Mytilus edulis: one gene and its partners. Each later gene encodes a partner of the first gene's protein in a complex. Links are inferred from orthologs where the notes say so. Each region holds a gene or a part of one and is shown in the gene's direction. Other genes may lie near its edges.

Region 1 (7,842 bases):
AATTTTGGACCCTTTGGACCTTAATGTAGACCAATTTGAAAACGGGACCAAAAGTTAAGAATCTACATACACAGTCATGACAGTTAGATTCGGCATATCAAAGAACCCCAATTATTCAATTTTGATGAAATCAAACAAAGTTTAATTTTGGACCCTTTGGGCCCCTTATTCTGTTGGGACCAAAACTCCCAAAATCAATACCAACCTTCCTTTTATGGTCATAAACCTTGTGTTTAAATTTCATAGATTTCTATTTACTTATACTAACGTTATGGTTGGTAAACCAAGAAAAATGCTTATTTGGGTCCCTTTTTGGCCCCTAATTCCTAAACTGTTGGGACCTAAACTCCCAAAATCAATACCAACCTTCCTTTTGTAGTCATTAACATTGTGTTTAAATTTCATTGATTTCTATTTACTTAAACTAAAGTTATTGTGCGAAAACCAAGAATAATGCTTATTTGGGCCCTTTTTTGGCCCCTAATTTCTAAACTGTTGAAACCTAAACTCCCAAAATCAATCCCAATCGTTCTTTTGTGGTCATAAACCTTGTGTCAAAATTTCATAGATTTCTATTAACTTAAACTAAAGTTATAGTGCGAAAACCAAGAAAATGCTTATTTGGGCCCTTTTTGGCCCCTAATTCCTAAAATGTTGGGACCAAAACTCCCAAAATCAATACCAACCTTCCTTTTGTGGTCATAAACCTTTTTTTAAAATTTCATAGATTTCCATTCACTTTTACTAAAGTTAGAGTGCGAAAACTAAAAGTATTCGGACGCCGGACAACGACGACGACGACGCCGACGCCAACGTGATAGCAATATACGACGAAAAAATTTTCAAATTTTGCGGTCGTATAAAAACTATTGTTTTTACACTCAGCCTGCCTTTGTCTAAAAATTCTTTTTTCTGAAAAAATTCTGTAGATAGACTATGGTACACAGAAGAAGATGTAGACTTTATACACTAATACTATGCATATGGTATACAGAAGAAGAAGTAGATGTTATACACTACTATACATATATGCAGCAGAAATAAGCAATACATAATACATACAACAGATATAAAGATAAGAATTGCCTAACAATTTGCTTTGACTGATTGCTATCACAATCATGACAATTGTAACAGATATTTATAATGATGTTATAGGCCGAATTTGGTTTAATATTCTTATGTTTGGTTTCATTTCATTCAGTAGTTCTCTTAAAGAAGACATTTGTATGTATTTCCTATAGGGTACCATTATCTGGCTGCCATCTTGGATAATGGATCGGGTACTATGTAACAACACTTGGTCAGCACCTCATAAGGAACATTCATGCCATGTTTGATTTCATTCCATTTAGTGCTTTTCTAAAAGAAGACATTTGTATGTATTTCCCATGGGGTAGTAGGGGTACTGTGTTTAACAGAGTCCCCCCGCTGGCGGCCATCTTTGATGATGGATCGCTTACAAAGTAATAACACTTGGTCAGCACCTCATAAGGAACATTCATGCTATGTTTGGTTTCATTCTATTCCATGGTTCTCTAAAAGAAGACATTTGTAAGTATTTCCTATAGGGTCCCATGTTAAACTAAGTCCCCCTGGTGGCCATCTTGGATGATGGATCAGCTACAAAGTAACAACACTTGGTCAGCATCTCATAAGGAGCATTCATGCTATGTTTGCTTTCAATCCATTCAGTGGTTCTCTAAAAGAAGACATTTGTATGTATTACCCATAGGGTCCCATGTTAAACTAAGTCCTCCCTGGCAACAATCTTGGATAATGGATCGGGTACAAAGTAACAACACTTGGTCAGCACTCCATAAGGAACATTCATGCCATGTTTGGTTTTGTTCCATTTAGTGGTTCTCTAGAAGAAGTTCAAAATGTTAAAACTACCACAACGGACGATGGACGCCAAGTGATGAGAAAAGCTCACTTAGCCCTTCGAGCCAAGTGAGCTAAAAATGTGTAATTGGTCTTTATAATTATCTATTATCATGATTATGATCTGCTATTCTGAATTTTAAAATCTAAACTTCACAGTCATATATGTATATTCAGAGTATCAAATAAAAGAACCCCAAGATTTAAATTTTGTAGAAATTAAACAAATTTCATTTTTATCATTTTGACCTATAAATGAGGACCAATTTAAAAATGAAGCCCAAAATCCATATTTCACATTCATTACATACATGACATACAAGGTTGGATTCAGCATATTTAAGAAATCCCAAGAATTCAAGAATACGCTATCTATTCAAACATGAAAAAAAAAAAAATGTTTTGGCTCCTTTCTCCGAAACTGACAGAGCAATAACCCCCAAAATCATTCTCAACTTTCCAGTTTTTATATAGATCCTTGTGGTTCAATTTCAAGAGAATCCACAGACTTGTGCTTATACTCAACAAGAGTGCACACGCTGAAATGTCTCTCCTTCTTTACTATTCATTGATATCATGTTGATAGTCTTTAATTGAAAGCTTTATTTATACAACATAAACTTTGCTTGTAAAATACACCTTAAAAAAATAGGAAGGGTTGTAGACATGGTAGATGTAGATGTTCCTTTTAATACATGTAAGAGGTAAATGCATGGGAATGATAACTTCCTTGGTAATATAATTTCCAGTATTATGACATTGTGACATGTAATTACAGCGTCATTATAAGTTAACAATGTTTGACTTTCTAGTACATGTATATATCATGTAAATGATGTATATATCAATTTGAGAATGGAAATTGGGAATATGTCAAAGAGTGCCTTTTCAATCAAATCAAATCAAATAATTCTATTGGTGTCAATTCCAATACAGGAATGATACCAGCAGACATTTACAAAACACAAATACAAAAAATAAACAATAAAACAAATATAAAGACACATATTTTATACAATGGGGGTGTTAATCATACTACATTACAAACTCAAGATATTACAATATAAGCTTTAAAACTACAAAAGTTCTTAACAACATTATGTTTGCTTTAAATGAATGTTTGAATCATACATATCGCTTATTCCAGCTACAGCTATACGTTGAATTGTGATGTCGAAATTTTCCAGGAATCAGATTATCTTTGCCCATGTTGCCCTCACCAGTTATTGTGGAAAAATAGCAATAAGGTTATACATGTAGTTTAAAAATGAATACATTTACCATGGGCATGATGGGTGATAAATGAACCAGGATCTGATTTGACTAGTAGTCTCCAATACACCTTATCTCTATTTGTCGACATTACTGGACATCACACGTTTCCGTAAAAATTTTGACGTCATAATAGAATCTGGGTCCATTCGCCCTAGTACCTGTTCGCCCCGATACCTGTTAGATTTTTATTTTTTTCTAATTGTTAGATACATGGTCTAGTCGCATAATTTTAAGTATTTTAACAAAATATGTTAAAGTTTGTTGAAAATTGACAGAATATTTAAATTGCTGCAATCAATGTATCATTCTCCCTTTGATTTGCAGAGTAGAATACTTGGAATACAATGTATAAATTTATCTTTATTGATATTTGTTAACAAAATAATTGTATTCAGCTGTAAATCACAAATGTATGCATTTCAACTGAGACTAGTCCCACTGAGAGTATTATAATAAATGAACTTGAAAATCTGTTTCATGATTTACAGTTCGTACACCAATGAATGTTTTTATTTATTTCAAGCTGTTTGTTTTTATCATTGACATTGTTTATTATCATGATTATTATAATCCTTCAAACGACAAGTTTCACAAAAATCAGTGATCGGAATTATTTTGTCATTGAACAATTAATGATCCTAATGATCATAAACAAGCCATAAACTGTTAAATATAAGAATATATATACCATAGAAATATCTGAATAAGTTTATTCAACTTTAATCACTGAATGCCCTGAATATTAATATTTTTAAGTAGGGCGAACGGACTCTATGGGCAAATGAACTCAGGGCGAATGGACATAAGGCAAACATGTCATTAGGGTGAACGTACACAATACCGTCATAATACAAATACATTGAAATAGGAAATTTATTTTAAGTTGGGTTATATATGAAATACTACAAATGAAAATCGGATTGTTGTATGACATCAATAGTTCAAGCGGGACAGATTCTCTGGTCAGCCGGGAATAAGCGATTAGGTGTATTTGACCAGGTGCTGAAGAAACTAGAATTTGCCCAACAAAAGGCAACATCATGAACATGATCGATCGCCCAACTGAAAAGGAATTCCTACCCTATTTATAAAAGGTAGCCCTTCAACAGACTGAGCAGTCTTCACGACGAGTGGCAGCCCAGGCTGGTAAAATTGCTCTCGGGCCTGTAAAAATCAGACCTACAGGCCAACAGAATCTAACTAAATATTTTCAAAAATTGAGCTGCAGGCCTGTAGATTTAGCAGTTCAGCGTGAAGACTGTCAGACTGAGCCAAGAAGTTTGTCATGAGCTCACCACTTATGATTAACTATCTACTATATGAACTAAGTAATCACGTAATCGAGCTGTATGATTCTTTTGTAAACAGAGCCCTATCTCATGAGATTTCGACTTCATTCGCGTCCATAGGCGTAGTGTAGTTTAGATTGCAATAGGTGCGGAGAACAGTGAGTTTGGATTACAGACGAATATAAAATGATTCTCGACAAACTTATAATGTCGTGTAATTTTTCTTACCCAAAGCGACTTCTAAGAGGGTCTAAACAGGTAGGAAAGTCGTTCGTTGTCGAGTTGGCGATTCCACAAACCGGAAGTACCGGAAGTTCAATAAAAATCAAAACATTGCAAAATGTCTGGAAAAGGCAAACAACGTGGAGCCGACATAAAACAAGAAGATATTCTACAAGCTGTTGTCATTGCAGATACTTTCAATGTTCGCTTTGCACCAATTACAGAAAAGAAACCCAGAGTAAAATTCAAATTTGTACTGCAACTGCCATTCACTTGTTCACAGCATGATGCAACTTTTTTCTTTAATTTGCTCATCATCTTTTATAGTTTTATCCTTGTATTCGTCATGTTCATAGATTGTAAAAAATTGTAAATATTAATTTGCTTCATGTAAAAAGTATACAATGTATAGTTCCCTTATTTTAAGAAATGTCCATGGAAAGATCTCTATGACTAGTTTTATGACAGCACACAGCCTAGTCCAAATAATTATGAATGTACATTGTAGGACAGAAAGTCACAGGACAAAAACTTAAAAGTCACAGGACAAAAAGTCACAATTCATTTTTTCTGATTATTTTCTTTGAATAAAAAATGCTTATTTTTACAAAAACATTTTTGTATTATTCTTGAAGTATTGTATATTAACAAACTTTGTAAGCAAAATTTATCAAAAAAAATATCAAAAATGATCAAATAATTGTTAAGAAAACAAAATGTCAAAGTAGATAAGCACTTAAATGCTTCATGGTGCCAAGAAATATATCCTTTGCATGATTAGAATTAAATAAATCTTCATTTTTCAAGTAAAATGATAAATTTCCTAAACTTTAATATGAATATATGTATAAAAAGTGAACATTTCAAGATATTCTCTTCTATATTCAAACATTTGTCAACAAATTATTTGTGACTTTTTGTCCTATCAAATTTCTGACTTTATGTCCTGTGACTTTTTGTCCTGTGACTTTCTGTCCGTTATAATTATGACGTCTGGCAAGGCTATTGTCAGATTGTAGGAAGGCGTCCCAGAAAAAAATAAAATAGCCTTGCCAGACATCATAATTATTTAGACTACTCACAGCCATGGCATAATCATGATAATATGTCAATTTGATATCGTCATGTGTCATGTTTTCATATCAGGGTAACATGAATGACAGAATGACTCTGTTATTATCGGAATAACACTTGTAATGACTGAATAACACTTGAAATTGTAATATCAGTTCATATTGGTGACTTTAAACATTGATCATGTTGATTGTTTCATAATAGTATATTATCGATGTAACTTACAACTTAAAAATGATTTAGATAAGCAGATATAAGTTCATAAAGATCATTTTAAATTGAATGTGTACATCGAACATGACAGCCATTGTGATTTCCGTGGTCCCGTATTGGATGTACACACTAAATTTAAAAAGTTTTTAATGAACGTTAATCTACTTTCTGTAATTAAATCATTCATAAGTCGTAGAACATGTAGTATACATGGAATACATTTGTACATCAATTATATACTATTAGTTAATAATGTTTTAAAGTCACCAATATGTGCAAATATTAAATTTTCAAGTTTTATTCGGTCATTTCAAGTGTTATTCAGATATTGACAGTGTTATTCCATCATTCGAGGTACCGTTCATATCATCCATTTTTCATCGGTGTCGATTGAACACGCTGGTAATGTGTTTTTTGGTTTCTATATTTGATACAACAACATTACAACTTCACAAATTTGATATGTATTAAAAGTCGCTTTATAAGACGTTAAAACAAATTTAAGAAAACTGACCTGTAGGATAAGCCATTTTTATTTAACCAAAAATAATGTCTTTTGTAGACACCCAGTGCCAATCTGAAAAATGAAAAAAAAATCACAATGTTACAATTTCATCATCTATATGAAACATCAACCAAAAACTTTTTTACTGGTTAGTTTAAGTACTGTAAAACTTGTATCAAATAACATGTAATTATAATTCTAGCAATTACCAGAACCACAACTATAGAAAATACTTATTTTAGGATTTAATAGTCATGTCCTGTCGGTATACCAGTATACTGATCCAGGTTTTACTTCATACAAAAACATATGACATATATATCACAAAACATATGACATATATCACAAAACATTATGACATATATCACAAAAACATCATGAACATATGACATATATCACAAAAACATATGACATATATCACAAAAAAATTAAAAACAGTAAAAAATCATAGTAAACCTTGACTAAAAAATCTAGATACCTAAACACATTTGACAGAACATGCTTTTAAAATTTGAGTGCACACGTGAATAAAAACTTAACAGTAAAATTTGTAAGCAATATTAATTGAAAATTTATTTCTAGAAACTAAGGTGGAACGTGGCATATTGTCAATGAAATTGACATGAAATTTAAAACATTGTCATAGGTAAAATAACGATAAATAGATTATCATTGGTCATGTTGGTCATCTGAACTGGATTGCTTTTTGGCATAGTAGCCCACATCTCAAATTGTGTACCCAAAATATATAGTTCTATACAAGAAAAGCAAACATTATAGTAGCCCACACCAAATTTTAGGGGCCATTGCCGAGTGGGCCCCTGCTAATTTCAAATCCATGTTAGACATTTAGAAGATCAACAATAATCTTTAAGGAATTTTATGTATTTTATTTTGATTGTTGCAGACATTACTTCCTGTGGTTAATGTCCCTATGTTGGATTATACCTTGGAATTTCTGGCAGCCGGAGGAATCCAAGAAATCTTTGTCTTCTGTTGTCATCTAGCTGATCAGATCAGAACACATATCAGGTATATTCAGTTAGAACACATATCAGGTATTTTCAGTCAGAACAGTGAGAACACATATAGCTCAACATGCAGACTTCTTGTACGTTCAGGCTTAAATTAAAATATTGTTTGTTTGCAGTTTACCAACCGACCCTTGAAAATCCTCCCGACCGTGAAAATTTTATTGCTTTAAATTTGAAGATTTTTTTTTTAATACCTCTATTGACGCGATCCGGAACTTTCGGTCCTTTCCGGAAATGATTTAAAGTCTGGGTCAATTACGCATTTCAAGTTCGGTTTTTCTTAGCTTCCCGTCAAGCGTTCATGTGACCATTTAATGATAAAGCACATGGAAATTGTTTACAGGTA
Region 2 (7,741 bases), on another chromosome or scaffold:
TGTCTCCTTGACAATAACAAAATATTAGTTGATATTTCAATTGTTTTTGTTTGTTTGTTTGTCTTCTTAAGAATTTGAAGATTGTTTTGTTAAATAATCGATCACAGATATCATTTGTTTCAAAACATTTAAGATGGTTTAACAATATCCTGAAATTCATTACATGACGTCACAAAGTATATTGGTTTTTAGATATTCAAAAAATAACCGTGCAATATGCTTTTTGCTGTGCAATATTCTTTTTGCTATCCTCCGTTTTCTCTCTACCTTCAAAAATATAGTTTAAGGGCATACGATACAGTTTTGATTCCGTATTTACAGTTTGATGAAAATTTCCATATAGGCTATTTTTTGCCTGATTAAATCAAATATGTAATAAAAAATATACCTTCATGTGCTACTTCTTAAGTTAAATGAGGTCGAAATTTTGTATATTTGCTCAAAATTTGGATTTGTGGCTGTATTTTCCCTTTCGAAAGAAAACCATAACTTTTTTGTTTTAAAAGATAAACACAAATTGTTTTTTGTTAAATAATTTGTAATTTCTGTATTTTATGAGTATCCTAAAAAATTATGCATTTTTTATTCAGAAATAACTCATATTTATCAAATGGTCATGAATTGAGAAAAAAACATATTTTGTTGCTGTATATTGATCAAAATTTTAAAAAATTGCACTATTTACAGTTTTATAAAATTTGGTCCACATAATCTCCCTGCAAACTGAAACTAAATGTCGTTTTAAAAATAGGGGTCCATGCGCTCGTTTTCAAATTAAATCAGTTTGAATGATAAAAATTAGTCGAAAAATGCATCTTTTCCCCATGTTTCATAGTTTGACGTCGCGAAAATAACATTTTACTTTAGCAACGTCATTACATCCCCTGTAACTGTACGGTATGCCCTTAACATGTGACTATCCCTTAACGATTCAAATTTGTTAAAATATACAATTAATAATATTAGAGGATATCTTCTATTTTATATAATCTGTTTTTTTATGAGATATCTTATTTATAATATGAGATATATATCATATGAGATATCTTATAAAGTTTATAAGCTATATGTAATAGTTTCATACCTGTCAACTGACCCGTATTCTGCGGGTGTGACCCGAGATTTTCACAATTCTAAAGGATCACCCGGGACCCCCACCGGGTCATTGAATAACCCGGGAATTCCAAAAATGACCCGTTTTCACCCGTATTTCTTAGCCTTGAGGTTGATTTCATAAGTAATAGTCCTTTGAAATTCCGGCAAATTCGTATTCTTCCATGAACAGGAAGTTCATCTAGCTGTGTAAACTGTCAAATTAAGTGGCCCATTAAGTGCATGGCTTCACTTGGCAGCATTGGTGTCAAACACACCGTTAATTAATACCAATTACCTTAGCTTTAGGTCGTAAATAAATTGCACTGTTGTTTTACAAACATATTTCAACTAGAGTTACTTCCCCTTTTTTGTCACCATTCAAAATTATTCCTTATATTTACGTTTTTTGGGTGAAATATATTAAATTTCAAAAAAATATAATTCAAATACATATTGAAATATAACTTTTCATTATTTTTATACCTTTATACAATTTTTCAAAAAAAGTTGAAAATTATTTTTTTCAGTTATACTTCCTTTAACTGTATTACTATATTTCACTTTAGTCTAATTTGAAGCAAATATTAAAATCAGTTTTAAGGCTGAATAACTGGTTAAATGAACATTTTAAAACTACTCTTTGAAAAATATATCCTAGCAGTTGATGTTTCTGGTTGAATTACATCATCACAATAACAGAAGAAAATTAGACACAAATTTATCAAAATCTTTTAAAAGTGCAATGAAATAATAATTAATAAGATTGAAAATTACTTAACCAAGTGAACATGCATTGATGTTTTGGTAACTTTGATTTCAATTGTAAGAAAAATGCACCCTAAATACTGAAATTCAGCTCGGAAAAAGTTCGTACATGTTATGACCTGTATAATTTATTGCACGCTAACTTTTGGTTACTTTCTGTTGGAAATATTATATTACTATACAATAATATAAGATATCTTATTAAGATGAAATAATATAAGATATCTTGAAATTTAAATAAATAGTAAAACAGCTTGCCATACGAAATGACCCTTGGTGAACAGGTATTTGGGCAAACATGAATCAGGGAGAACAGACCCTGATTCCTCCCATTTCTACCCTCATGATGACCACCTATACAGTTTTCTGTCAAACAGACTCAGCTCTGAGATTCTTTCACAAGTCATTGTCAGGGTAGGAAGGATACACTGATGAAGTGTGATTCATTTTCTGGATCCACACGGTGGCAATACATTATTCACTCCATTTCCTACATAAATATATTAATTAAGAAACAAAAACAGGTGCTCCACAGGGCGCAGCTTTATAGGACCGCAGAGGATGAACCCTGAACAATTGGGGCAAGTATGGACACAACATTCAAGCTTGATACAGCTCTGAATTTTTATTGTGATCAAATTCCTGACATAATATGAGTTTATGACACAAAATTTTTTTCAAGATCTTACAAATATATTGTGCAATATTGCGCAATTAAAGATTTCTTCTTCAAACTTTTCAAAAATTGGAATTTGGGAAAAAAATTGAAAACTACTACCCCCCTTTTTTTGCAATAAGTCCAAAACCTTGCATTTCATTATTAAGGTGTAATACCACCATTGATTTTTCCCTTTAAGTCTTTGTTAAATTGACACTTTTAAAAAAAATCGTACAGTATTTACCTTTATTTCAACCAAAGAAATACTTTGCATGTGTAAAGTTCAATCCTTTCCGGTGATACAGTGAAAATTTCACACTACATTTCATTGCATATAAGAAAGTAACCACCGCCGAGGGTAGACAACCAAATTTTTACACTGTTATTTACTGGTTACCTGCTTTGTATGCAACCGGATGTGACGTACCATGATTTGGTGGTATTACACCTTAAAAAGTAGTGTAATCCGAACACACCCAACATTGTATGCTAACTGTTTTTGAATTACCTCCCTTACACTGCTTTTAAATTGTCTTAATTGTCCATTGACCAGAAAAACCTAGTTTTTCCCTTTTTGCCCCTAATTCCCCCTTTTTTGCCCCTAATTCCAAAAAAGTTTGAGCCATAACCCCCCAAAGTCATTACTTACCATCCCTTGGTATGGAAACTTGTGGTTAATTTCAGAGAGATTCATACACTGAAACATAAGTTATTGTTTGAAAACTACAAAATGCTTATTTTTGGCCTCTCTTTGGCTCCTAATTCCTAAACTATTGGGACCATAACCCCCATAATCAATCCCAACCTTCTATTAGTGGTATTGAATCTCTGGTAAAAATTTATAGAGATCCATTCACTAAATCTAAAGTTATTCTCCCCAAAACCTATTTCCGTCCCCCCCCCATTTTTTTTGCCCCTAATTCCCCTTTTATAGCCCCCAATTCCAAAACATTTTCAGCCATAAGCCCCCAAAGTCATTACTAACCATCCCTTCATGGTATGGAAACTTGTGGTATAATTTCAGAGCGATTCATACACTTAAACACAAGTTATTGTTTGAAAACTACAAAAATGCTTATTTTGGGCCCCTTTTTGGCCCATCATTCCTAATCTGTTGGGACTATAACCCCCAAAATCAATCCCAACCTTCCTTTAGTGGTATACACCTTATCGCTAATCCCGGCTGACCCGGCCGCTTGAACTTTTGACGTCAACAACAATCACTTTTCCATTGTGGCGTCAGATATTTTGTTTTATGACGTCAAAATTTTACGGGAACCTGTGTGATTTCCAGCATTGGCGGACAAATAGTGATTAGGTGTATTGAACCTTCTGGTAAAAAATTATAGAGATCCATTCACTGAATGTTATTAGTTATTGTCCGGAAACTGAATGTGTCTTCGAACGATGCAGACGCCAATGACAACGACATGATACCATTATACGATGGTTGTATAATAAGGAAAAACATTTAAAAAATTTAAAAATCACCCAACAATGGCATTATTGTTTCTGAAGGGATGGAAAAGTTGTCATTTTTCTCTATTGACAATAAAAAAAATCCAGATCAATATGTACTGATCATGTCACGTGTTATTAGACAGCAACCATTTGATTTTCTGGGGGGGGCTATGGTTTTTTTTTTCTGGACAAATTTTTTTTTCCGCCTGTGGCGAAAAACAATCTATTTTTTTCGCGACAAGTCGAAAACAATTTTTTTCTTTCAGTTTTAGCATTACATATAGTGGCAGCTGAGGGTGAAACAAACAATTTTTTTTTCTCAGAATCAAAAACAAATTATTTTTTTCTCCAAAAACTGGAAACAAACTTTTTTTTCCAAAAAAAAACATAGCCCCCCACGAAAATCAAATGGTTGCTGCCTTAGGTATCAGTCACTTTACTTCCAAGCAGATTCGTTTTTTTCAGCAATCATGTGTACCTTTCTTTTAAGTTCATTATGATCCAAGGAGTAAATCTGTATCTGTAATTTTTCCATTTATTTTTCAAATATCTAAAGATCATTACAAATGATTATTAATCTTCTTTCGAAGGACATTATTTATTCGTCCTGATGAAATGTCAAAGAAATTTAACCATGGGCGCATCCATCTTGCAGTAACGAGGTGAATTTGATTTTCTATTGGATAGTTTTGTGTTTTTTTATTTGGAAGGTCTCTGGAGTTTTTGTTTGTTGAATGCAAATTGGCATAAATGTAAACATGCCTGCTGGTGATGAAAAAATTGAAGACTTAAACGAAAGAATTGGAAACTTTATAAGAGAATTGAAACAAGGGTAACAAAATATTCATTTAAATATTAATCATAGTTTAAAATAAATAACGCATTCCACAAGGTGCGAGACAACTCGGATCGTCTACTAAAAAATCAACTCGGACCATCTTTATAGCATGCTTAGGCATCTATGAAGACAGATCGGCACTTGTTTCTATCCATTGGGAAGACCCACGATCAACGTGTATCTAGTGGGTCTTCCAATGGATAGAAACAAGTGACTGTGTCGGACTGTCAATGACAATACACCTTATCGCTATTCCCGGCTGACCCGTCCGCTTGAACTTTTGACGTCAACAACAATCACTTTTCCATTGTGGCGTCAGACATTTTGTTTTATGACGTCAAAATTTTACGGGAACCTGTGTGATTTCCAGCAATGGCGGACAAATAGCGATAAGGTGTATGAGTCTCCTCAGACCTAGTCCAAATAATTATGACGTCTGGCAAGGCTATTTTATTTTTTTTCTGGGACGCCTTCCTACAACGTGGTGGGTCGAAACGATATCAACCCCATGCGAAGCAGAGGTGTAAAATCATTCGTAGACGACCTAGCTCTCTGTCGGGGTGTCATACTTGGTAGAGCAGCCAGCTCACTGCGATCTCTTGAGACTATAAGCCTTTTGACTAGTAGATTTGTCCGCTTCAGACGGACACATCTGCTGGCTTCCTCCTCCTCCACGGGGCGTCAGCCCAAAAAGTCAATAACGGCTTACCGGTCTCGATACTCGACATCGCGGTGATGTGGGTGTGGCTGACTCGGCTAAGTACAACTTTGTTTTAATTATTTTTTTATTTATTTTTTTTGGTACGTTTCGCGGCCTGAGAGGGGGTGAGGAAGGAGTCCCAGAAAAAAATTAAAATAGCCTTGCCAGACGTTATAATTATTTGGACTACCTCAGACCCACTTAGACATTAAAAATGAACAAACTGCATGATCACTGAAGTGTAACCGAGATGCTCAATCGGAGCAAAGGCAAAGATGTAAAGGAGAACTGTGGTGTTGTGGTTAGCGCTTCGAACTATAAACACATACTAGAACACACCCGCGAAATCGCGGGCATTCAGACCGTAGTTTAAAGTATGTAAAGTGTTGTTGGAAGAATTTTGTAAAATATTGAATGACTGGAGAATTTCAGCAAATGTATCATAAGTCATAGGTTATTGGGGACAGGAAAATGTTTTTTTTTATACCTCCTTCTTCATTTCCAAAATTCCCAATTTTTGGTTTTCTATCAATTTCAATATGAACATACATTTAGTATGTTATGAACATTTAAGTAAGGAACCTGTAATTCAGTGGTTGTCGTTTGTTTATGTGTTACATATTTGTTTTTCGTTCATTTTTTGTACATAAATATGGCCGCTAGTTTTCTCGTTTGAATTGTTTTACATCATCATTTCGGGGCCTTTAAAAGCTGAGTATTCGGTATGGGCTTTGCTCGTTGTTGAAGGCTGTTCGGTGACCTATAGTTATTAATTTCTGTGTCATTTTGGTCTCTTGTGGAGATTGTCTCAACATGGCAATCATACCACATCTTTTTTTGTTGTTATAATAAATGAATTTTGTAAAAGATTTAATGACTGGAGAATTTTAGAAAAGGTATCAAAAGTTTACATGAATAATTTTAGCGCTTATCTGTATATTATGAACATTCATTGCTATATAAATAAAGTGTATTTACTTTCAATTCCAAGTTTACTAATCGATCCATGGTGGTCAATTGATATAGTATACAGACCCTCTCCATTTAATAAAATCTGTGACCGCCCTGGATAGTAAACTTGAAAATGATAGCAGATAGAATTAAAATACAAAGTATATAGAAAAACACAAACCGGAAGTCTAATCTGACTTAAAATTTCGTCCAATGACGGGACAATATCTGGATGCCTTTTTTCTCGTTTTTCTCCCAAAATAACTCAATCTGAATAATCATATAAATGGATGACAAATGCGACTATGCACTGTACCTATAGGAAACAGAGGCGTGTTGATTAATTTATTGTGGAAAGAAGAGAAGCGACACCCAAAATGAGGTCTTCTCGTTTAATAGTACATGTATAGATGTTCCTGGTTTGTTCAGTGGAGGAAATATCAGGGACTGTAAAAAGAGCAGGCAGCTCACTCACACCAGCAAAGTGGAAAGGAATTTATATAAGTTGTAATAACATGTTTCCCAATCCACTATAAATAAATTTGTTAGATCTTAAAGATGCAAATTATACTCACCATTCTCTTCAGAATTATAAATGATGAGTTGCAGTGAAAAAGGAATGTTGTCTGGTGCACCTGAACGACTGTCAAGTACATTTATGACAGAAACTTCCAAATTGCAGCATCATCAAGTGAATACTGGAAAGACTTTCTTTCCACAAACCATCAGAGATTTTAACACTCCCTCTTGGGGTTGTATCAGCACCCTTAGTTTAGGCTTTCAAACCCTCAGTGACAATGGATAATTGTAGTTTGTTATACATTTTTTATTTTAAATGGCAAAACTCACATACTAAATACTATGCAGATATATATATCAACAGTAAGTTTGACATTTCTATTAGAACAACAACTATGATCTGACTTCCTGTATGACACAGAATATTGAATGTTAAAAAACACAGTAATTGAACATTATTTCTATTTTACAGAAGTGTAGAAGGTTCCTATAATGTAGCATACAGAACAGTTTCCCTGCTGGTCAGGGTGATATCACAGACTAAATGGACAACAGCTAGGTAACCATATACAGGGCAATAGTTGGGGGACAATAAACTTGCTATTCCACTCATACATGTACCCAGTCAATAAGTATAAAACATCCAAATTCTCCCTCATTATAAAACCTTTAAATATAACAGTGTGAGTGCACAACATGCAGCTTAGTTGATATACATTTGTACATGTATGCATCATGGATTAATTTTTATCTA
Region 3 (7,234 bases), on another chromosome or scaffold:
TAAATAGGAACGTTATTTAATCATAGTTATCGTTCATAGTTTCTAACAACACTTCTTCGAACGCAAGTCATCTCATGAATATTATTGCCGGCTCATGAATATTATTGAAGGCTGGCCTCATGAATATTAACGCCGGCTGCTATCGACGGCTAGATCCACACTAGTATACAAATCACTGTTTAGAATAGGTTGTGACTCTAAACCAATGTCTTCTGTGAAACCAATAAATTGTCTTCGTGCTCAAGAAAAATGAAGCAGTATTCTAGAAATATCGCTTGAATTGGATTTTTTATAAATAAACTTGAATTAAGCAAGATAGTAATGCAAGGACGCCATACACCATTATGATATGCGCATGATTCATAAAAACGGAAAACATCCTCATTTCCATTGTTAAAACACCTTACATAGCAAAGAAACCGCAATATAAGTTAAAAGCTGATCATTTTCTACACTGACTAGAAATTTTTGACAATTTTTAGTGTCAATGAACACAAAATTTCAATGAAATATAGTTCTAGCAAGGAAAAAGCTGAGATGACATACGACAGGATGAAAATGAATATTCTAAAACACAAAATGCAAGAAACACTGGTACAGGTGTGTACAAAGGTTAATGCTGAAAAAAAACACGTGTAGAAACAAATGTCAATCCACCCCCTCTTTTCCTATCCCCAAGAAAGGGTTGTCTTTTTAAATACAAATGTGTTTCACATTCAAACCTATACAGTTTATGACAACAGCTATTTATCAAATTGACGCCGCCGGTAAAGCAATATCATTCAGTCAAGTAAAAATGTAAAACCCCTGTCCAAGATGATATCATTCCATTACTTCTATATACCGGTAGTAAATAATGGTAGAATAAATTCTGAATAGAAAACCTGGTAATACAATTTCTGTTGCTGTCATGTGGCCAGTCTAGTTGGTGCCATTAACTTACATTTGATTTAATGTTGATGATTTTGCTTTAATTCGGAGATTAAACTTATAATTAAAAAAACTACAAAGGTGAATATTAACTGCAAAAAAAAATAATTATAAATTTTCATAATTAATTTTTTCTTTGATTTATTGAACTCACTGAAGCCGGGGACTGCATATATATCTTTGACATATAACCAAATATTTAGTTTCTTGTTAGAGGGTACACAAAATCATTCATGTCAAAATCAAGAAATTTTTACAGAACATGCACAATTCGTTCGGCAGAGGACATTTTAGCTCATTGATAGGACATTTTGGCGAAAGAAAATCGTACGTTTTAGCGCCAAAGTAGAACCCATTTTAGCGCCTGATTTTTAACCCATTTAAGCGAAAATTAAAATGTCAATGCCCATTTCAGCGAAATATTTTTTAACCGTTATAACAAATGATATATAATAAATAAGAAACTTTAATAGACTTAAGGCAGTACAATTTTTAAACATATCATATCCTAGATAGAATACAGCACTAAAAGTCTAAAAGGTTGAATCAAATGTTAAAAGTTCGTTCTAGTCTGGAATTTATATTCAAGAGAACGTACGTAATGGGTTCTGGCTATACCCCTCATACATTTACTGTTCATAGAATTGAATTAGGAACTGTTCTTTCTCTTTATCTGGTCTAGATTGTGGTGCACATTCGTCTTTACTTCATATTTTTCAAATATTTTGTTGTTTGCAATTTGATAATAGTATCACGAAAAACGTAAAAAGCAGGGTGACAACTATCAAATTGCTCAATATAATGAATGGTCATGGAACAACTGTGGACCATTATGTGTTCATGGTTATAGTAAGGTGAGTATTTTTCAACCAAGTAGGTTTTCGCCAAAGGCGGCTACCGAAAATACAGGTGAACGGATTAATCCGGCGCTAAAATTGGCTCTAATGTCGGCGCTAAAATGTCCCCATGATTTTTTTTTTATTTTTCGCTAAAATGTTCTGCGCCCCATTTCGTTATAACTGTTGCCAATGTATGACTATCACTTACGTGTCAGTCATGGAGGGTATAAGCCGCTCAGTATTCAGAACTGTACAGTACTGACATGATTTATAACAACATCTGCAAACAACTGTGTTCCGTTTGGGTGTAGGACATTTTAGCGAAAACATCTATACTACTTGGGGACATTTTAGTGCAGACATTAGAGCCCATTTTAGCGCAGGATTAATTTTACATTGGGTTGTAAATATTTGACTAAAATGAACCTTGATAATTTCAATTTTCGCTAAAAAAAAAATTGGGGTTCAAAGTCTTGCGCTAAAAAAAGGGTTATACTTTGGCGATTAATCGTCTGATTCATGATTTCGCTAAAATGTCCCCCGCCGGTCCCGTTTAGAAAATAAGAATTTATCACTGAGAAACTTAGGTTTTAATTTCTGTGTCTTTTTTTGTCACATAGCTCTTCAACTGTTTCAGTCCTTTTGAATAGAATAGAATTATAGAATAATTTTTATTTCCCAAATTACAGGGCCCATAAAGGGCATAAAATCAGATACAATTGATTTACATAATTGGTAACAACAACAATAATAGAGGCATATATATACATATATATTTGGAATATAAGCATTGGTCAGAATCAAGCTAAAAACCACATATATATTGTGAATAAAAGAATAATAAAATTACATTATACATGTATATGTATTTATTCTCAAATTATTTACTTGACTTAGTGTCAGAGTTCATACCTGATCTCCTTAATTCAAAACAGTCACAAATACAACAATCCAGTTTTTCCATAAGAGTAACATTTTCTTGGGTCAAGAGCCATAAAAATTTAGATGATTTATTTAAATTTATAAAATTATAACAATTGTTAGAAATGTCTTGAAAGAAATCGTCCCTTTGAATATCATAAAGAGGGCATTCTAATAAAAATTGAAGCTCATCTTCAACTTTACCAAGTGAGCAATTAGAACAAAGACGCTCCGAGATCTTTCTATATGCTTTTTTGAATATCTGTCTGTCTCAATTTTTAAACAGTGAGCACTTATTCTTAATTTACAAATTGACTTTTTGAAGTCCTGCAAAATTTTTCTTTTTTAAAACAATTTTTTATAGAAAAATAAGTACCAAGCTTCCCTTTTTCGGAGTTAATTGTTTGATACTTCAGTTTATTCCAAAATGTAAAATAACTTTTACATAGTTTATTTTTAACATACTGACATAAAGAACCAATTGATTGGTCAAAATTTGGTAATTCAATCTCTCTCTGAATATAATCTATACTAGAATACCATGTATTTACATTAGAGTTATGTAACTGTTTGCAACATATAAATGCATCAAATGATAATCCTTCTTTCAAATGTTCCAGTCTATGACAATATTTTAACATTGATAAAATTATAGTAAAATACATAGGAAATCTACCAAGCTCTGACATTACAGCTATATTACTTGACTTTCTGTTTACACCAAGAATATATTTCATAAATTTGGTATGAGCTTTTTCAGAAGAATCCTGACCAAAGACTTTTTCTAATATATAATCATTATCTTTTTTACAAGCAGCTGAATCCGTTCTAAATATTCCCCATCATGATTTCACTGCCATATAATAGTATGGGTTTAATTGTATGATCATAAAGATGTAAAAAAGTGGCAATACTAGGGTTAGATGATGACAAACATCTCTACATGTAGCTTAAAACAAGCTTTTAAAGATTTGTTGTATAATTCAACTTTACACTGCTTAAATATACCACTAGATGTAAATGTGATTCCAAGATATCTATATAATTTTGCGCTTTCAATCTCTCAGTTACCTCCAAAATGTAAACATCATTTAAAAAATTTTCCTGGCTTGTTAAAAATTACACTTTTTGTCTTTTTTAAATTTACATCAAAACACCATTCTAAACAATATTCATGTAACATATTAATTCTCTTTTGCAAGCCTTCCTGTGTTTCTGAAAAAATTACTACATCAGCATCCTTGGCCGTTTACATTATTCAGCTTTTATAGTGTCCCTGGGGTAAATTCAGATAAGCGCTTCGGACGCATGAAATTTATATTAATATAGTCGTGGTAAATCAATAATAAGGTAAACCTAATAACTTTAAAATATATGCTAAATTTTATATCAAATATTGGTCCGGTTACAAATGTTTTTGATCAGAATCTATCATTTATTCATTACCAATTAAGCAAATCCGTAAAATATTCTCATCATGTCCGTTTACGGTATAAACTTTAAATTCTTGGTCAGTCAACTGTTTATACCAGACGAAAAATCAATTTGCAAATAACAAATATTTTGACATTGAACATAAAAAAAAATTACCAATGCTTGCTTTTATTTCATCATTGAAGTCAAGTTGCCTTCTAAAGTAAATGCTTTGAAAAAAATCTTGTAAGTTATATTTGAAACTCTTTTCACAATCGTGAATAGTCCTTAGTACTGACTACAGTCGTCAATGATAGAGGAATCAGCTGAACAATGTAAAATAGACCATATGTCCACAGTCAGCTGTCCATTTTTTTTAATATGAGGCAGGCATTACCTGTGTAAGGGGACGAAGTCTGTATGATTTTTTTTTAATTCAAACATATCTTAATTTCAAAATGGAAATACCGTAACGTTTCCGATTTTGGTTCTGTTAGAGATTTTAGTTGTGACGTTATTAAAGTTATGACGTCATATGCAATGTAAACAAAGAAACATTATTATTAGGTAACAAAAATGAAATTGATATTGCGTTCCTTCCTATTTTATACTAGACTGATAAATATATATTTTACTCAAAATTTCATGCAAGCGAGACCAGAAAAAGGAAATACATTGTTGATTTCTGCGCAGATGCTGGAATTCAAAACATGACATAAAATAGTTTGAACGATTTTTAGTTCATTAATAGTACAATGAAATTATCGGGAAAATTTTCCCGATTTTTAAATTTTTTTCATTGAATTTTCTACTGTTATTGGGGACTTCGTTCCCATATTATTTATTTGACTCTTAAATTCATTGCTATGTGTAGAAAGGGTGCTTAGTGCTATGTGTATCAAATAGTTATTGCAACAAAGTTGTATATTCTGTTGAACTATTGACAACAGACAGCTGTGCAAAATCACAAAAGTATGCAAGTCACATTATCAACTATTACAAAAGAACACATGGGTAAACAAAATTGATTAAACAGAGACTCATATATACAAGTATATTGCTCTGAAAGTAAGTCAACCACAAGCTGCTGGGACAACAAAATTACAAGGTATTTGAAAAAGGGGGCACGAGGGAAGCCATATAGTCGGGTGTGACAAGACAAAATGAGAGCTGTGACCAAAACTTTACACCTTGCTTCTGATATTGTATGGCATGAATACATTTTTATTTGAAAGATACATATTTTATATTATTACATTATGACATGCTTCAATTTAGTATTTAGATGATGAAAAACCACAACATATTCAGGAGAACGGTGAAAACCAAATTTGATACTTGCTTGAGGGGTGACTAGGAATTGATAATGCCATGGAAATTTATTTCACACAATTACACGTACCTGTTACATCAAAAATTGTTAAACTGCATAACTGTCTGAAAATTTCATTAGAGTTTCCATACAAATGTAAACAAAGATATATTTGCTTTTAGACTATTTGCCAATTTTCACAATTAACCCTGTAATTTTTGTCTCCCTTATGAGGGATATAAATTTTTATTTACACTGGAGAGCTAGCAGAAAGAGCAAATTAACCTGTGCATAATATAAGTAAACCTTTAAGTTTTTCAAATCTTTTAATTTAATTAATTTGTTGTTTAGCTAAATACTTTTGTCACCAGAAGTTATTTTTCAAGAAAAATAGTTGAATCGTCGATACCTCACTTTCAACTTATCATGCTTTGCATTGACAAAAGCCAATTTTATCTGTTATAGAACCAGTCTACGAATGACAAATTAAAGGGAAGTAATTTGTTTAAAAAGTGTGATATTACAGAATCAAATGGGTAATTGACAAATGGACCATTAGGGTAAATACATCTTTTCTTTTTTTCTTTTGTCAGGTTACCAGATTTTTCCTTAAATATATTAAAAAAAATGGAGTTTATGCCAGTCATTATGGCTGCTGGGGAGGGGTCAAGGATGACAGATCTGACATCAAAGTGCCCAAAAGCTTTACTTCCGGTAGGAAACATGCCAATGATCTGGTATCCTGTTAATATGCTAGAGAGAGCTGGATTTGAAGGTTTGAGATTTGTTTATAATAATTTTTAGCTTAAAACATACATGTACATGCTCAGTGTTGTGAATTAGTTTTAGTTTCAGTTTAGCACTTTATCACTTTTATTTGTTTAACGTTTTACCGCCATTTACGTAACAATAGGCCCGCAACGTCGTCACTTGCCAACGTCTCTCTTGTATATTATAGACTAGTAAAGCATACGAAACATTGAAGACGCTTTTGTGTTTACTTATATCGATACGTCCAAAACATTGGTGCCGTGACAAAAACAGAAGAATACAAAAGATGAGTACCGCGACAACGAAGATGAAGACCAGACGAGCTGGACATCGGGGAGTTCTTACAAAGTTACTGAAGAAAGTGGAACCGAGTTCCGAGGAACTTTTGCAGGAATATGACGTTAGTGAACTTTCAACCATTCGAGGACTTATTGTGAAGAAGCAGGAAACGATCGATCAACTGAACGAGAAGATTGTGGAGGAACTATCGGAAGAGGAAGTGAGCGAAGAAATAGAGGAAGCCGACAGATACACATATGACATAGAAATGAGTGTAACTAAACTTTCAAAAATCATTAAGGAATCGGAAATCACAGTCAAACAGTCAAGTAAGTCATTGCTAAACCCAAATGCACACGAGTTTATTAATTACACAAATCATCAAGAAAGTCAGCCACAACCCAGTTTCATGCACGCAAATACATCAGCGTCCGTTTTTTCAAACTCCAGCATGTACCACAAACTTCCCAAATTAAATTTACCAACGTTCGGTGGGAATATGTTAGAATGGCAACCCTTTTGGGATTCGTTTAGTGCTGCCGTACACGATAACCTGTCTTTAAACGATGTACAGAAATTTAATTACTTGAAATCTCAACTGTTCGGAGAAGCCACCCAATGCATAGCAGGTCTACAAATAACTAACACAAATTACGGACAAGCATTACATGTACTGAAACAAAGATTCGGTCAACCACATAAGATAGTACAGACATACATGCAGAGTTTAATCAGCCTTCCTAGTCCAACGTCAAATATTACACATTTG

Evidence for each region.
Region 2: the proteins of translation initiation factor eIF2B subunit epsilon-like (region 1) and translation initiation factor eIF2B subunit beta-like are in contact, whole or in part, in a cryo-EM structure (PDB 6O81), measured with the Homo sapiens proteins. The link is inferred for Mytilus edulis from reciprocal best matches to the Homo sapiens genes EIF2B5 and EIF2B2. Residues at the interface, in NP_003898.2 of Homo sapiens: Glu81, Thr84, Ala85, Thr115, Leu117, Lys186, Glu187, Ser188, Ser189, Ser191, His192, Pro193, Thr194, Leu245, Lys294, Glu295, Tyr296, Asp312, Arg315, Arg316, Trp317, Tyr319, Pro320, Ala325, Asn326, Asp329, Thr336, His337, His340, Asn341; in NP_055054.1 of Homo sapiens: Ser12, Glu13, Glu16, Glu20, Lys23, Arg24, Asp283, Lys287, Phe288, Val289, Ala290, Pro291, Glu292, Glu293, Leu295, Pro296, Phe297, Thr298, Gly300, Asp301, Leu303, Glu304, Val306, Ser307, His309.
Region 3: the proteins of translation initiation factor eIF2B subunit epsilon-like (region 1) and translation initiation factor eIF2B subunit gamma-like are in contact, whole or in part, in a cryo-EM structure (PDB 7VLK), measured with the Homo sapiens proteins. The link is inferred for Mytilus edulis from reciprocal best matches to the Homo sapiens genes EIF2B5 and EIF2B3. Residues at the interface, in NP_003898.2 of Homo sapiens: Pro190, Val202, Arg222, Arg223, Phe224, Ala225, Phe226, Pro227, Leu228, Phe231, Gln232, Ser234, Ser235, Asp236, Gly237, Val238, Glu239, Val240, Arg241, Tyr242, Asp243; in NP_065098.1 of Homo sapiens: Arg155, Phe157, Glu178, Glu179, Leu180, Val181, Ile182, Lys183, Gly184, Leu187, Gln188, Pro191, Arg192, Ile193, Arg194, Phe195, His196, Thr197, Gly198.

What each region holds. Positions count from the first base shown.
Region 1 is NC_092351.1:90,196,810-90,204,651, reverse strand, and holds the start of translation initiation factor eIF2B subunit epsilon-like, read left to right. Parts: upstream 1-4,773; 5' UTR 4,774-4,788; coding exon 4,789-4,908; intron 4,909-7,369; coding exon 7,370-7,494; intron 7,495-7,842. UniProt on the Homo sapiens protein: Acts as a component of the translation initiation factor 2B (eIF2B) complex, which catalyzes the exchange of GDP for GTP on eukaryotic initiation factor 2 (eIF2) gamma subunit.
Region 2 is NC_092344.1:90,857,433-90,865,173, forward strand, and holds the start of translation initiation factor eIF2B subunit beta-like, read left to right. Parts: upstream 1-4,665; 5' UTR 4,666-4,713; coding exon 4,714-4,811; intron 4,812-7,459; coding exon 7,460-7,546; intron 7,547-7,741. Other genes in the region: SET domain-containing protein 9-like, read right to left, coding at 4,458-4,540. UniProt on the Homo sapiens protein: Acts as a component of the translation initiation factor 2B (eIF2B) complex, which catalyzes the exchange of GDP for GTP on eukaryotic initiation factor 2 (eIF2) gamma subunit.
Region 3 is NC_092344.1:35,350,704-35,357,937, forward strand, and holds the start of translation initiation factor eIF2B subunit gamma-like, read left to right. Parts: upstream 1-4,215; 5' UTR 4,216-4,349; intron 4,350-6,008; 5' UTR 6,009-6,042; coding exon 6,043-6,190; intron 6,191-7,234. UniProt on the Homo sapiens protein: Acts as a component of the translation initiation factor 2B (eIF2B) complex, which catalyzes the exchange of GDP for GTP on the eukaryotic initiation factor 2 (eIF2) complex gamma subunit.